Oreochromis niloticus: one gene and its partner. The protein of the gene in region 2 interacts with the protein of the main gene of each other region in a pairwise test. Links are inferred from orthologs where the notes say so. Each region holds a gene or a part of one and is shown on either strand. Other genes may lie near its edges.

Region 1 (7,628 bases), on a different chromosome or scaffold from region 2:
TAGGATATCAAGAACCAGAAGACTCCAGAGGGGTATTTCTTTATTTGGGGATCTTGGAGGAACCTTTTTGAGTAGGGGAGGTGGTACACCCATCTGCAACCTCTACTTCTCTTGCAGTGACAGTGGCCAACTGTCTACACCTGACGAGATTGGATAAAGCCATGCCTGAGGTTGGCTTAGGAGGATGGCACTTCTTGTCTTTATGCTCTCTGGCCTTTCATTTTTCGCTGAAATTTTAAGTACTTTAAAATAAAACCAGTGTTTTTAGAAACTGTGGTATCAGTCTTCATGCTGTGACTTTTGAGCCAAGTCATAAAATAGTGTAATGCTGCCTTTTGGCACTGCAGTGTATCTATGTGGCAAGGCGTTATCAAATCTATCAATATTTTAACGATAACATTTTTTTCCAGCATGGCATAACACTAACACTAGTCAAAAATGATACACCCAAGACTGTAAAATGAATGTGACGTAAACATAGCTTTAATGGGTTCTGGAATTTGTACTGAAATACAGTCATGCTAAAAGATTAAACTATAGATACAAGCTGTGGTATGAGCTTCAGCTAAATCAGATTTATAGAAAATAATCTGACTTCACTAAAAACTATGAATAAGTTAGACTTTTAAAAATGCAGAAATTCAGGTAGCACTTTATTCTGAATTTAAAGCATCGTTTATACCTGAGTTATTTGAAATCCAAAATGGCGTTCACAATTGGAAAACAATATTATAATAATGTAAACTAAATGATGTGCTCTTCAGAAAGGAACAGATAAAAAAGAAAACATATCATCTTTTAAAATTGGACATATGTATGCCATGGAAGAAAGGGTTTATATCTGCATAACTACATTTGATCTTTCAGTTTGAATTTCACAGGTTAAATTATTTTATAGATACGTGCCTACTGGGAATATGCTTCAAAAATAGGGCATTCTATAGTATAATGTTGTAGTTCTATAGTCTTATACAGATTTTATCAGCAGGAAGTCAGATCACAGCATAATGGATCTCTGCTACCGATTCAGTTTTTACAATTGTCCTCTATTAAGTGGAAGGTAAATACTTGAATAACAGTATCATTATGTGGGCAGGGGAAATATATCAAAATAAAGATATTTTTAAGAATAAATGGCAGAATTGACTAGCTGAATATGGGATGCTTTGAGCCAGGGTGAAAACTGTGAATACCAGTGGAGACTGATGAAAGAGGCAATAGGGGAGTTTGTTTTTCTTCCTGTTCTCTCTGTTATGTAAAGATGAAAAAATAATATTGAAATACATGTGCATTTAGCTATAAATGCACATATATTTCAATATAGGTTGGTAACTAATATGTGGATTGTGTTTAGCTGTACAGAATAATGCTTAAGTAATTTATTTTCTTTCTTTTCTTTTCCTCTGCTTCTTTGTAATCCAGCTTTTATTTTATTATTTTTTTTTACTTTTTCACTTCAACTTCAAGATTTTTTACTACATATAATTTTACTGCAATCCTTACAACCCAGAGAAGTTCTAAAGGAGCTCCACGCCAGTGAAGAATGATAGCCTCTGAACAAAATCATTGAGAGATATTCTTGAAAACCATCAGACCATGACAACTAAATTATCATAGCTCACTTACTAGGTCTATATACTGTGTGTTTCATTTACCTCTACGAAGTTGTGGATTCCCTCGAGGTATGCCAAGTTATTATCAGTCACGTCCACACAAATACAGAAGTACAGACCAGCATAACGTCTGTAAATGATCTTGAAGTTCCTGAACTGTGAGAACAACAGAAAAATCCTCTTAAGAGCTTAATCTCGCATATTGTGACAACAGCAGCAGATTTACCAGGGCTGAAGCTCCCACGGTAAGGTAAAACACACCCAGCATGCATACATTCATACTGATTTTTTTTTTAATAGCATTAAAAACCTGATCCACAAAACGGGTTCTCTTTTCTTTTGATGTTGTATTCCACTAGAATTTCATTCAGTTATGCATATAACATTAAAAAAAAAAAAACATGCTAAGAGATAATGCCTGCAATATCTATACACCGAAGGAGCTGAGCCAGCTGTGTCATTATACAGGATTAGAGAAAAGAGGTTGTTGCTGTTCTAGCATGTCAAAGAATCATTTTAAAAAAGAAAATGTGGGTACATGTGGCACTGCCAAATCCCATACCTCCACAAAGTTGGTGTGCTTGGCATCTCTGACAGTAACGACAGCATGCACTTCTTCAATCAACTTCTGTTTCTCATCATCATCAAACTGCATGTACCATTTGGCCAGTCGTGTCTTTCCCGCTCGGTTCTGGATGAGGATAAAGCGGATCTGTAAGAAACAAGACAAAAAAAATAAATAAATGAGGCATTCTTTACTTGTCCTGAACAAGTAAGCAGTTTGATACTGACAGAATTATGAAACTCCCAAAAATGACTCACTAGCAACACACAATATAATCTTACTTTGCCTATTAGTAGCTGTCGTACACATGATAACTTTGGAGATACTTACCATTTAGGCATCCAACTATTTTAATATGTAAGAGAAATTACAAGTAACTGTAGCTACCCTTAGCTTATCTACAGCTTATCGACAGTTAAACATAGTGTTAGCTAAACCACACCCATTCATTTTGACAGCATCATTTTTCGGAGAACTCGGCAAGGTAAAAACGATCTATTTCAGTAAACTGATAGTTGATCTGTTTGGTAAAACATCTTGATTTTAAATTGTTGGCGTCCCAGTTAGCTTATCGTTTTCTACTCACTGAATGGAATAGCCGATCTGGCGAACTCTCAGATGCTAGCAACCAAACGACAAATGTTCCTGACATGAGAAGAAAATACAACATAGTTCGTTTGAGACATATTTACCATTTTCGCCTCCCAAATATGGACCTTAGAGACTCCAAAGCAGCAGGTTCCCAAGCAAGTGTGCAATAATTTTCACATTAATACATCGATATTTTATGACCGCTCGTCCGCTATCTTCTCCAAGCTAATAGGAAGTGGCAAAACTATGGCTGCGTCACGTTGCATGATGGGATTGTAGTTTTTGTTGTTACATTTAGAAGCAATGGGTTTTAATATAGAACTACAACAACCAACATCACTGTGTGGCGTCTCGTATTGAGTCGTGCAGTGGATCACATGAGAAGCAAAGAGCCCATCTCTCTAAATATTTTTGTCGTTTTTCGTGTTTGTTTCAGGTTTTATTCTTTTCTGAAAGAACTACCGGAAGCACTTCCTGTGGAATAATTTCATAAGTATTGCATTCCACTTGTTATCTATTTTTATAGTATCCTAATACTATAAACTTGATTAAAAAAATATGTCACTCTTCTCTTGGGCAATTTCCTGTCAGTTCTTAGACTGGTTAACACTTCTTCTTCTTTTGGCTGCTCCCTTTAAGGGTCGCCATAGTGAATCAATTTCCCTTCATCTCCTATCTCCCTTGCCTAGCATACTCCTCTGTCACACCAGTCCTCTGTATGTCCTCCTTTACTACATCCATTAACCTTCTCGATGATCTTCCTGTTGTCTGCCTACCTGGCAGCTTCATATTTAACAACCTTTCTTGAATATATCAGCTATCCCTCCGCCTCACATGTCCAAAACATCACAGCCTTGGCTCTCTAACTTTGTCTCCAAAGCACTTCACCTGAGCTGTCCCTCTGATATACTGATTTCCTATCCTGTTCCTCCTGGTCCCACTCCCAGTGAAAATCTGAGGATGTTCAACTCTAACTCCTGTCTTTTTGTAAGGGCCACCATCTCTAAACCATACATCTATATCTTCCCTTTCACTCTTGCCGCTATCCATCTGTGAGAAATCACCCCTGGCACTCGTCTTCACCCACTCCACCCTGCCTGCACTCTCTTCTTCTTCTCTATTGTGCAATGTCTGTCACCTTCACTGTTAAATCGGTCTCCGTCTCATTCACACGTCTATTCTGTCTGGCTTCTATTGACTTTCATTCCTCTTCTCTACAGAGGATACCTCCACTTCTCCAGGCTCTCTTCCACGTGCTGCCTGATCTCACTACAGATCACATCATCATAGTCCAAAGAGACTTTTGTCTGCTCTATTTGTTTATACACATGGTGAAAATTGCTCACATACAGACTTACTAAATGTAAAAAAGTCCCCAAACATGATAGTGTATTTGTCACATACACAGTTAATCAAACTGATAGTTTTATTTATATCCACTTAATTATATTAGATTATTGCGTATAATTAGCATAAAGACGTATGAACAAAAAGGAAGATTTGTAGAATACAAAAGATTTATACCGAAACTCATTACAGGCTGAAAAGCAGCAATAGCCTATATAACTTATTTGCAGCCCCTTGAGGTTACATTATTTTTGGAGGTTGTTTTCTGCAGAGTCAGAGTTTGTTTACTGGTGTGCTTGGGCAGCCAGTTCACCGCAGAACATTGCCCAGACAGCTTGGACAGCTTGCCTCTGTTCTGGGTGTTTAGGGAGTCAGAGGTGGGGGGGATGGGGGACTGTGATTGTCAGGGATTGCACAACTGTGAGTGGAGGAATGCGCTGCCCTTGGGACTGAGACATATTTTAGCTGCAGATACAACGAGGACTGAAAGTGGGATGGAAAAAATAATAATAAAATGAAAGAGGAAACAAACCAGTGATTAAACAAAAAGTGCAGTGTTTTTCTTCCGTATAATGCTTGCAGCTGTGTTTTGATACTGCCGCGTATTTTAGAGTAAAATAAAAATAAAATTTGCCATGGTGGTTATATAAGAATTATACGCATAAACAGCACTGCATAGCAATGTTTTGTGATAGTCGCAAGACCTTGGCCTGTTTTAAAAACAAGTGGAGGTAGGCGAAAGGGATGTAAAACAGAGGCACATTATTCAACACACACTTTGACCCCAGCTAATCTTGGTTTGTGTGATTGGGGTCATGCAAATATTGCTGAGAACCTAGTGAGTAATGCAATGGGACAGAAGCGTGTGGACTTACTCAAACAGAGGACAGTGCACCTTGAACCCTGTTTGACTGTGTATTTAATGGTGGGTCACAATTCAAGCTTGTCAGAACACACATAGTGCACATTATGTACTTCAATTTAATAACTTATGTAAGAACAACATAATTTCTTTCCTATTTTTTTTTTATTACAAATGATTTTCTGCTATGTTTTGATTCTGCTATCCAACACTCCAGGAGGTTGAATACAGTAATAAACCTTTAAACACGATGGCTCTATTGTTTACAATGGTTTAGTCTTAAATATCCCCTAAAGTGCCAAATTCCAGTTCAAAACAATAAATTGAGTTCTACGGCCACACAAACTATTTGTTTTCATATCACACAGAGTTTAGATTACCAGATCGGAATTGCATGTTCTTGAGAGTTCAAGGAAGGACTAACAGGGAGAGAGAGGAAGCGAGTGAATGAGAGAGAGAGAGAGAAAGAATTTCAAGAGAGGGTCTCACTGCTAGACACTAAACATCTGTTTGAGCTATTAGTACAGGCTGTTGTCTTGTACAACACTGCAGATATTTCTCCAATGTATCTCAACTCTCTGCCTTAAAAGCGTAATTTTTTAAATGGCTTTAATCAAAGTAGAAAACACTTCGCAATAACTCTTGACGAGCACATAACTCAGTGAACAACACTTATAATTAGGACTAACCTTTAAGATGATTAATTTTTCTCAGGAAAGGCATTAAACATTTCCTCTCTCTGCTGTTCAATAACAGTTTAGGTGGAAGTCCTTGGGTGAATGCACAACAAATCTATCACAAATGATTCAGCCATTAACTATTTAAATCTATTAAGCAACAGTTCTGTGCAAAAGTCCTCAGCCAATCATCAATGCTAAGTGAACCACTTAGTATTGACCTATGAATCATTCAACCATAAAAAAGGAACCTAACTCAAAAGATGAACCACACCTGGTTTTCTACACATAGCAGATATCAGAAAAATTAACAAAGAGACTAATTAAATTTGTTTCTTTAGACACTTTTGTTACTAGCAGTCTGTCACAATCAAATCATTTTGTAATTAGTTCCTCTCTTGATAAGGTGGCTGTCAAGAAGCCATTCCTAAGGAAAGGGAACAAGAAGAAAAGATCAGTGGCAACAGGAGTGACGGATCCACATTTGAAGTTTTTCTCAGTTGAAATCATCATCAGTATGTGTAGAGGAGATCAGGGCAGGGGTAAAACAGGGAGTGTCTAGAGTCATCAGCAAAACATGGTAGAGTGTTTGCCATGGTTTGGGTCTGCAGTTCAGCGGCAGTGGTGTGAGGGATCTGATGGGAACTGATGAAATCCTGAATACAGAAATATAGAGTCAAATTTTGATCCATCATCAAAATACCATCCCATTAGCATCAGCTTCATTTTAAAGCATGACTATGACCTCAAACACACTTCCAGTGCAGTCAAAGGATACCTAAATTAAAAAAACACATATGGGAACTTTACTGACGTAGCTCATTAGAATAGTTCAAACTTTGTTTTTGCCTTATATACTGTATTTTCACATATCCTTACAGATGTTTCAATAAATCGCTGCACCTATTTCCATTTTCCTGGGAAAATATAAAGAAACGAATGGGTTATTCAAGACCTTTGCATAGTGTTGTATAACTAATGCTTGAATCTGTCCGGGGAAATGGTGGTCAGTTTTGCAAGGAAGTGGTATGGGAGCCGTGGGGGCCATGAACGCAAATGGGCCAAAATAAAATAAATTAATCACAGTCATGATAACATAAACACATTTCTTTTTTTATGCTTAGAAATAATAAATAACAGTTTCATGTTTAACAGTAACCCAAGATGAGGCATTAAAGACATTAGCCCCACTTTGATACAACTCACAAATAAGTCCATGTTGTACAACGGAGCTAGTTTGCTGTTCTTCAATTTAAAATAAAAGAAAGAGCTATAAAGAAACGAAACTGGAAAGTAATAGAAATAGTTAAAGTAACTAGAAGTAGCTGGTTGCTAGCTAAAGCATAGTCACCCTTTGTTTGCATGTGTGTGTTTTTTGTTGTTTCGAATATTTTCAAATATTTCTTTTTAATTTCTAATGTATTCAGCATGTTATATGCCAACTATTTTCTTTTAGTTTAAATATACATACGTATGGAAGAGTATTATGATGGCTCATTTGAAATAAATTCACTGTTGTTCTCGGCTTACTAGTCACCATTAGCTACGCCTTAATAGTGTGGCGGTGAGCAGCGTATCATAAACAGTCTGCGTTTGTTGTAATTGTGTATATTTACCGCTGGGCGAGAGTGTCTCTCTGTGAAGAGCATGCCGCCATTACTGGGAAGCTGGGGGAAAAAATAGACTTAAACACAACGTCACACATTTATCCTGCAAGGGGCTTAACATCAGAAAGGGAAAAAAACACACACACACACACAAGGCTTTCGTACGAACTGTTGTACTCTTCCAACAGCGGCGCTTTTTTGTAAATCAAGGCTGATCCTTGTGGTCGCGTTTCCTGCGGACTCTTTTTTTTTGTAAATTTTTGACACAACAAAGGAAATAATAATTGGTCAAAACAACGTGGTGGTGAACCAAGAAGGGAAAACACACCGAAACAGCGCTTTCCAACGCCGGCCCCCCTTTTCTCC
Region 2 (7,472 bases):
TTTGGCTTGTTCATAGTTATTGTTCTGGAAACTCGGGAAATGCACATTTCAAGACTTGATACATATTCTGACTCCTAAAATATTATTCCTGCAATAATCAGTCATTGGGTCCTCTACTAAGTAAGAGCCTTTTCTTTTGAAGATTAAAAAATTGTGGGCCCACAATTCAGGATATGGCTTTAAGAAGGCCTTTACTCAGCTGGAAGTGGAATTAATGGAACTGATTTACTGTAATTAACAAGAAAGGAGGGATATCAAAGTGATGTCTGGAAAACAAAAAACAAAAAAGTTTTTAAGGAGATCTACTCATTAGATTGCTAGAATCAAAACCCTATGATGAAAACAAAGGAACTTCAGGAAAATTGAGCAGACTGTGCTTTAATCTACTTGTACAACCATGACCTTCGTGGAAGAGATAATTAAAAGCATCAGAAGTTTTCAAATGATCATCTAAATAAACCTAATGATCTCTTTAACTGTTAAGCATATGGGTGGATGGCTTGTGTTACAGCCATTGGCACAAGATAGAGGGAAGAATAGATTTAATTATACACCACAAATTCTGCACTGCAGTGTCTGCAAAAAAAAGTCCAAGATAAAAAAAGATGATGTGTTTAACAACATTTTAACAATCCGAAAAACACCTCAACCCAACAATGGCTACTGACAGACAAACACTGAAGATTTGTCAGTGGTTCTTGAAATTTTCTGAGCTAAACATCTTCAACAGTTGATGGAGTTAAAAGAAGCTGTGCAGGACGGAAGAAAGATCTGACAAAACTGAAAGAAGTTTGCAAAGAAAGGGTGAAAATCCAGCAAACAAGAATGGTAAGATGTGTTGCTTACAAAGTACTGACCATGGGGGCTTAAACTTTTTATCATAATCACTTTCTTTTTATTAGTTAGGGTAATCATCTGAAATGCATCAAACTCTTTTGAAAATATAATGGAAAAAAAAAGCTAAATACATTAAAGATGCTCACTTAGCTATTCAAAGTGAGACAAATGTCTCTACTCTATAGAAAATATTTAACCTCCACAGGGACAACATACCTTTAAATAAAAAAAAGAAAGAAAGAAAAAACAAGATTTGCATATCTTTTTTTAAAATTCCCCCATTTACCTTTCATCTCCTTTAATTTGGTAAAAAGGCGTTCAAAGTTATCAACATCTACATCTCCAGTTGTGAGGTTAGCGAGCTCCTGAATGTCCAAATCAGTCATTGCATCTGAGGGAGATCAAAAAAATGTGCTGTATGTTTATACACATAACTAACAGTGGCAGCAGTAGTATTTTGAGAAATCTGAGAAAAATTGATTCACAACTTAGTAAAAAATATTCTATCACAAGGCATTCGCTTACCAACTACTGCCTCTTCCTGTGTGTCTGTGTTTGTAGTACTTTCTGTATGGTTAGGCTCCTCATTGTTAACGGTGCCCTCTACTGGTAAGCTGGAAGACTACCAAAGAAACAAAACAGCTTGGATCAGCATGCCTCCACAAAAACAACTTTAAAAACAACATAAATTGAAATTGTATTGATTCAAGCAAGCCAGCAAGAAAACGCATTAAAAACACTATTAAAACCTAAATAAATCGATCAATATCAAAAAAGGAAAATGCACTGACTGGTGGATCTTGGCAGGTGCGTGGGTTGTTATGTCTGGAAGCCACCAAACTGCTCATCAGACCAAAGCCCTGATTGTGCCCTGTTACGAGATGTAAACTGTCACATGCCATACATGCATACACAGAGTATGTAGTAGTTAAATAAAAGGTTATGTCATCTTACCATCCTTCATTTCCACACTGGACCACACATTTGCATTGAGAGCCTGAACAATTCTCTTTACTCCTGTGGATTCTGGAAAGTCGTCTGATAGGGGAAACAGAATAGTGTGAATGCGGGTGAAAAAATTATCAAAACACAAAGAATTGAGATATAAATCTGGGTGGTGTCACTGCTCATTTCTTCCATTTGAGAAACTCACCATCCTCATCTGGGAGCTCCTGAGGATTGAGTTCTACAAGCTCAAACGCATGAGCCAAACACCACTGCTGCGCTTCATGTCTGGTGACTCCTACAACATAAATTAGAAGTTGTATCCCCCACAACTTGTATGTAAGACAGTGTTTTCTGCAAGCCACATGCAGAGCAGAAAAAACTGACCATTTTCACAGACTCTGTCACAGACCAGGATGAGCACCTCTGGCGCAAGATCTTCCACTACCGGTATCCAAGGTTGTAGCTTTTGCAGCCCATCTTTCTGCAAACATAATGGATGATATAAAGGCATGAAGAAACGTGCTGTTTAGACTTATAAATATAACTTCTTATGTCACATACCGCTTTGCTGTCAAAATAAGCGATGAAAGCTTGCATGGACTGGGCAATCTCTGACGACATGTGAAACGTGCTTGAGACAACACACAGATTTACATCTGCCGTATAATACTTGTTGTTGATGGTCCAAGGGTACCAGACCACTGTTTCCTCTCGCTTTGTCGGCTCGGGTAAAGTCTTCGTACTGAGGATTTCTGAGACAAAAACAAATCTGTTGATCTACATGAACAAAGACGTCAAGCTAAGCTTCTCACGGTGAAAGCTCAAGCTACAGGAATTGCATTACCCTTAATTAGCATTACCATATCGGTTGTATATCAGCTTGGCGAAAGTAAAGAACATAAAATGGCTTAAACGCATAAAACGCTATTAACCCGACAAAAATACATAAAAGGGCTTCCAGATGCTATCGCTTAGTTAGCTCTGTTTAACGTTAGCTTCCTTACTATTATGTTATTTTCACCTTAACTTACGTTTGATTAGTTCTTCTTCTTTAAACTCGCTGTCACAGCTAGTGACAAGCACACACGGGGTGGCCATTTCTGTATTTTCTTCTGAAGCTGACATTTTAATTATAAATGAAAGAGAAAGCTTCTTCAGCTATTAGCTTAGCGTTACGATGGAAAACTTGGGAGACCTTTCAACTCTGACCAGCCTCTTCCGGTGCACGTTAAACAGTCTGGTGACGTTTAATTGTAAAAATGTTTTTCTATCCATCTATTGTAATTGAAACTAAGTAATAATAATGATGATGATAATAATAATAATAATAATTATTATTATTATTATTATTATTATTATTATTTAAAAAGCAAAAACAAAAAATTGCAGTCTGCGTTTATGAAACTTTTATGTGAAGTGAGGGACACAGAATTTTAACCCTGTTTTGTCCCTTTCAGACAAAGCAACCACTCCTCCAAACAAATCTAACATCAGCTGATATGTTTTAGAAGGTGATTAAAGTAAAGGCCATGGTTATGTGGCAATGGGATGGTAGTATTGGGATAAACAATTATGTACTTAGACGTGACCCTTATATGCCTGACTGTCAAACTCCGGAAAGAAATGAGCTGCATGGTGTCTCGTCGTCAAGGTTACGTGTACCGAATCAGAAACTTTCACTGGTGACAAGCCAATTGTTTCGCTAACAGTGGGTAACTAGTACAGTTCGCCATTATGCTGTATATATTTCAGTTACAAACCCATAAATAATGATGAAAAAAAATGTCCGACGTGGTTAAGAAGGAAGACAAGTCGGGAGCTGTTTCGGTTCGGGTAAAGTTTCCTTGACTTATCTTGCCTTTAGCTAAATCATCAAACTCGTGTGTGCTGTTTTTAGGTCATTTTCTGGAGTATTTACATTTTATGACTGTATTGCAGGTTGAAGACGATTTAAGACAACTCAAACCTAGTCTTGAGAAAGTGATTGTCAGTGAGGGGAGGACAACACTGAACATTCAGGCCCTGAACATCAGGGTGAGAAATCTTCACGCACAGTAGCATTTATATTAAATAAAGAGACTTAAGTCAAACATAGTACACGTAAAAACCGACAGTTAATAAGTTCTTGACTGTCTGTAGAAACATGCAGAGGATTGTTTGAAAACAGTGAATAAGCAGCAGCTGATTCTTCCACCCATTGGCGATTTACAACAAAAGACTCTTTCTAAATGGTAAGTAGTATTTTTAGTGGGAATATTTTGCTCAACCATTACCTTTTTGCAAATTTGATTAAATATGTTTAGAATTGTTATGAATTCTAGTTAATTGGGATTGTGAGTCTGAAAGAAAGTCTTTACACAGGACTCCTTGTCTGGAGAAAATCTCAGATGTGAAGAAACAGAGAGAAACCCTTCCAGGAGCTCCAGCAGGGGAACAGGTAGATTATTATGCGTATTCAGAAACTTTAAAGGGTAATAAATGACCTTTTTTCAATTAAAGAGGGTGTGTACAAGCTAAAACACGTGCAGTACGATAGGCAAGGTAAAAGTGGGCAAGAATTGATACCTTTTTTGTTTAGCAAAAATCCTAACTATTTACACGCTCATTGGAAAAATTATTAGGTACACCTGTTTGCATTAACAGCATGTAATGCAAATATCAATAGGCCAATCACATGGCAGTAACTTGGTGCATTCAGGAATGTACAAAAATCACCTGCTGAAGTTCAAACTGGGCGTCAGAATGGGCAAGATGATTTTAGTAACTCTGGACGTAGCATTGTTGGTGCCAGGCGGTCTGTTCTGAGTATTTCACAAATTGCTAGTTTACTGGGATTTTCCTGCACAACCATCTCTATAAGGTATACAGAGGATTGTCTGAAGGAGAGAAAATATACAGTGAGCGACAGTTCTCTGGATCAGAGAATAGCCAGACTCCTTTGAGTTGATCCATCCCTTTATGGCTACAGTGTAACCATCTTCAGATGGCTGCTTCCAGCAGGATTATGCACCATGTCACAAAGATCGTTTATTTCAAAGTGGTTTCTTGAACATGACAATGAGTTCACCGTACTCGAATGGCCTCAACAGTCACACGATCTTAAACAGAGCACCTCTGGGATGCAACAGATCTGTATCAGTAGCATGATACTGTCATGTCAATATGTACCAAAGTCTCTCAGGAATGTTTACAGCCCCTCGATGAAACTTGTGCCATTAAGAATTAAGGCAGCTATGATTCAAAAGGGGGTTCAACCTGGTACTGATGAGGTATACCCAATGAATAGACTAATGAGAGTGCATCTTCTATTACAATTTCTGAATTTTTTCCTTTCTCTGTTTCAGGACAAGTTAGCATTGAACATGTGTTTGCCAAACAAAAGATCCATTAGGCATCAGAAATCTGTGAAATCACTTACTGATACTCACAGGAAGAGAGCAAATGAGGTAAGTAATATTCCATAAATGTAGAATAACCTAATGTTTGCTGTACTTTGCTATCACGCATGATTTCTGTAGAAACTACACCTTACAGAAAGTCATAGTTTCTTTCAAATGAAGTATAAACGTGGTATTACATTTACTGATCATATACATTATGTTATAACATAAACAACTCTTAATGCAGTTATTCTTATTGTGATGTATTATTTACCACAGGTGGGTCTAAAATAAACCCTGTGAACTTGCCACTTTAGTCAGCTTTTCTCTGGAGCCTTTGACTCTCTTTATGATGTCGACAGTTGTTTTTTTCTCCAAAAATTATGTGCTACAGTTTGTCGGATTGAATACTCTACACAAAGTAGGTGACAGATAATTTGCAGTGGCTTTGTAAAACGGTACCACAAAAGAGAATTTAGACTTTTCATTTGTTGCAGAAATAAGGCTGCATGTTTTCTAATTATATTTTATATGTTTTCATGGGGCATTTCAGTCTTACCGCTGGAAAGGACACCAATCACTGCATGAAGTCTTGGCTATAATCATAGATTTGTCAGAGTTTAATCATGAAATAATAATTATTTCCTCCGGGTATTTACTTTGTACAGTGAGAAAAGTTTCTGCTGCACCTGTGGTGAATTAGATATCATTGTTCTTTTCCCTGATACTTACTCTCTAATCCTTCCAATAGACAGTGTGTGCTGGAGTGAAGAGTGATGGTAGTGTTCTGTATTAATAGATGCCTCAAGTCTCATGTTCAGACAGTCTGTGACGTAAAGGTCACTTGGCTTAGGGATGACATCCAGCACTTGTCACAGCAAACAAATTAATCTTTGCAAAGGTCGGCATTAGTTTTAGATCTATTTTACACACTTTTCTGATATGTTTTTGGGAATCTCTACCTGACACGAGAAACATAGGCCAAGACTGTCACTCTGATATAGGAGAGATGGAATTGCTGGCTGCAGAAAGCGGAAAGCAGCAGATTGCAGCACATCAGCATTCTTCTAAAGAAACAGGCGCCTGATTGCTGTGCTATGGGCTACTGGTTTACAGCTGTCTCAAGACAGAAGTGGATACCTGGTCCAGCATGCCAATAAGACAGCCGTAGCTTCCCCAACTGCTAACCACTGGCTCTCTGCCTGCTACCATCTCCTGCAACTCAGGCCAGCTCTTTTTCTCTCCATACCCATGCCAGGCAATGAGCGTTTGCATTTTAGCAATTTTACAAAGGGTGCCACCTTTTTCCCAGCCTCATCTGAAACAGATGTGTGCCTTTGAGGGGAGAATCTCACTGCACCTGGCTGCTACCTGTGGTCTGTCAAAGAGCTCAGTGGTCTGAGAAGAACAAAAGAAAGGACATTAGGTGACAAATCGGGAGGAGCACAAACTTTCTGTTTCTGTTTTCTGAGTTGTGAAATGTTTAAATGTAGTCACAAGAAATTCATACTGAAATTAGGCCAATAAATCTTGTTTTATTGTTATTGTGATCCAGTGTTATGAATTAAAATGTTTAAGGTTAGCAGATTTGAATAGCTATGATTGATAGTGAGTTACAGCGAAGGTCCTATTGCCAGTGGCACTTTTCTAAATTCTTAATGAATGCAGAAAACCTGTTGTTTCTGATAAAGCATGCTATCCTGAACCGCTTGTTTATACTTATTCCCCTAGAAAATGTTTTCATGTCTAATGGGACAAATGAGTTTTAGTGTGGATAGCAGCAGGTAATGTCAGGCAGCGTTTTGTTGGTTGTGTTTACATCTGATGTACAGTCACTGATGTTACGAAAATCTTCTGTTCAGGCAAAAGGTGACAGGATAATCTCTGGCTCTGTGGTGAATCTTCAAGCAGCTGAATCAAAGGGCCATCACATCCTGGTAGTCCCCAAAGAAGACTTTGGGACAGGTTAGCAGCATTTCACCACCCCTACACCATCACCTCATCTGTTATACTCCAGACAAACATCCGTTGACATTCTGTGTTTGCTTAATGTTTGTGGGAACTTTGATCAAGTCAGTAATTCCACAATACTTTATAGTGTCAAACTCCAAATCATATAAATTGTTATATTAAGTTAGTAGTATTAAGTTTCCATACTATTATATATTTTTTTAATCCTGGGAGGGGATGAACGAGGACAAGCACAATGTCATTATCTTCTTTTAATTCGGTGATGTATTTTCTCAGTGCCACATCCAAATTTGTGTTCTGTGTCGATCGAGTACAAGGCTGCTTCTCTTTATCCCA

Evidence for each region. The genes of interacting proteins can lie anywhere in the genome.
Region 1: the proteins of aagab (region 2) and ap2s1 interact in binary tests that used the Homo sapiens proteins (3 or more experiments, as listed by UniProt). The link is inferred for Oreochromis niloticus from reciprocal best matches to the Homo sapiens genes AAGAB and AP2S1.

The regions. Positions count from the first base shown.
Region 1 is NC_031979.2:22,060,252-22,067,879, reverse strand, and holds the start of ap2s1 (AP-2 complex subunit sigma), read right to left. Parts: upstream 3,035-7,628; 5' UTR 2,874-3,034; coding exon 2,871-2,873; intron 2,326-2,870; coding exon 2,176-2,325; intron 1,770-2,175; coding exon 1,656-1,769; intron 1-1,655. UniProt on the Homo sapiens protein: Component of the adaptor protein complex 2 (AP-2). Adaptor protein complexes function in protein transport via transport vesicles in different membrane traffic pathways.
Region 2 is NC_031972.2:51,480,353-51,487,824, reverse strand, and holds the start of aagab (alpha- and gamma-adaptin-binding protein p34), read right to left. Parts: upstream 3,018-7,472; 5' UTR 2,911-3,017; coding exon 2,817-2,910; intron 2,538-2,816; coding exon 2,347-2,537; intron 2,267-2,346; coding exon 2,170-2,266; intron 2,081-2,169; coding exon 1,991-2,080; intron 1,876-1,990; coding exon 1,792-1,875; intron 1,709-1,791; coding exon 1,629-1,708; intron 1,460-1,628; coding exon 1,363-1,459; intron 1,229-1,362; coding exon 1,124-1,228; intron 1-1,123. Other genes in the region: iqch (IQ motif-containing protein H), read left to right, coding at 3,568-3,618, 3,724-3,819, 3,925-4,016, 4,147-4,222, 5,130-5,231, 7,028-7,130. UniProt on the Homo sapiens protein: May be involved in endocytic recycling of growth factor receptors such as EGFR.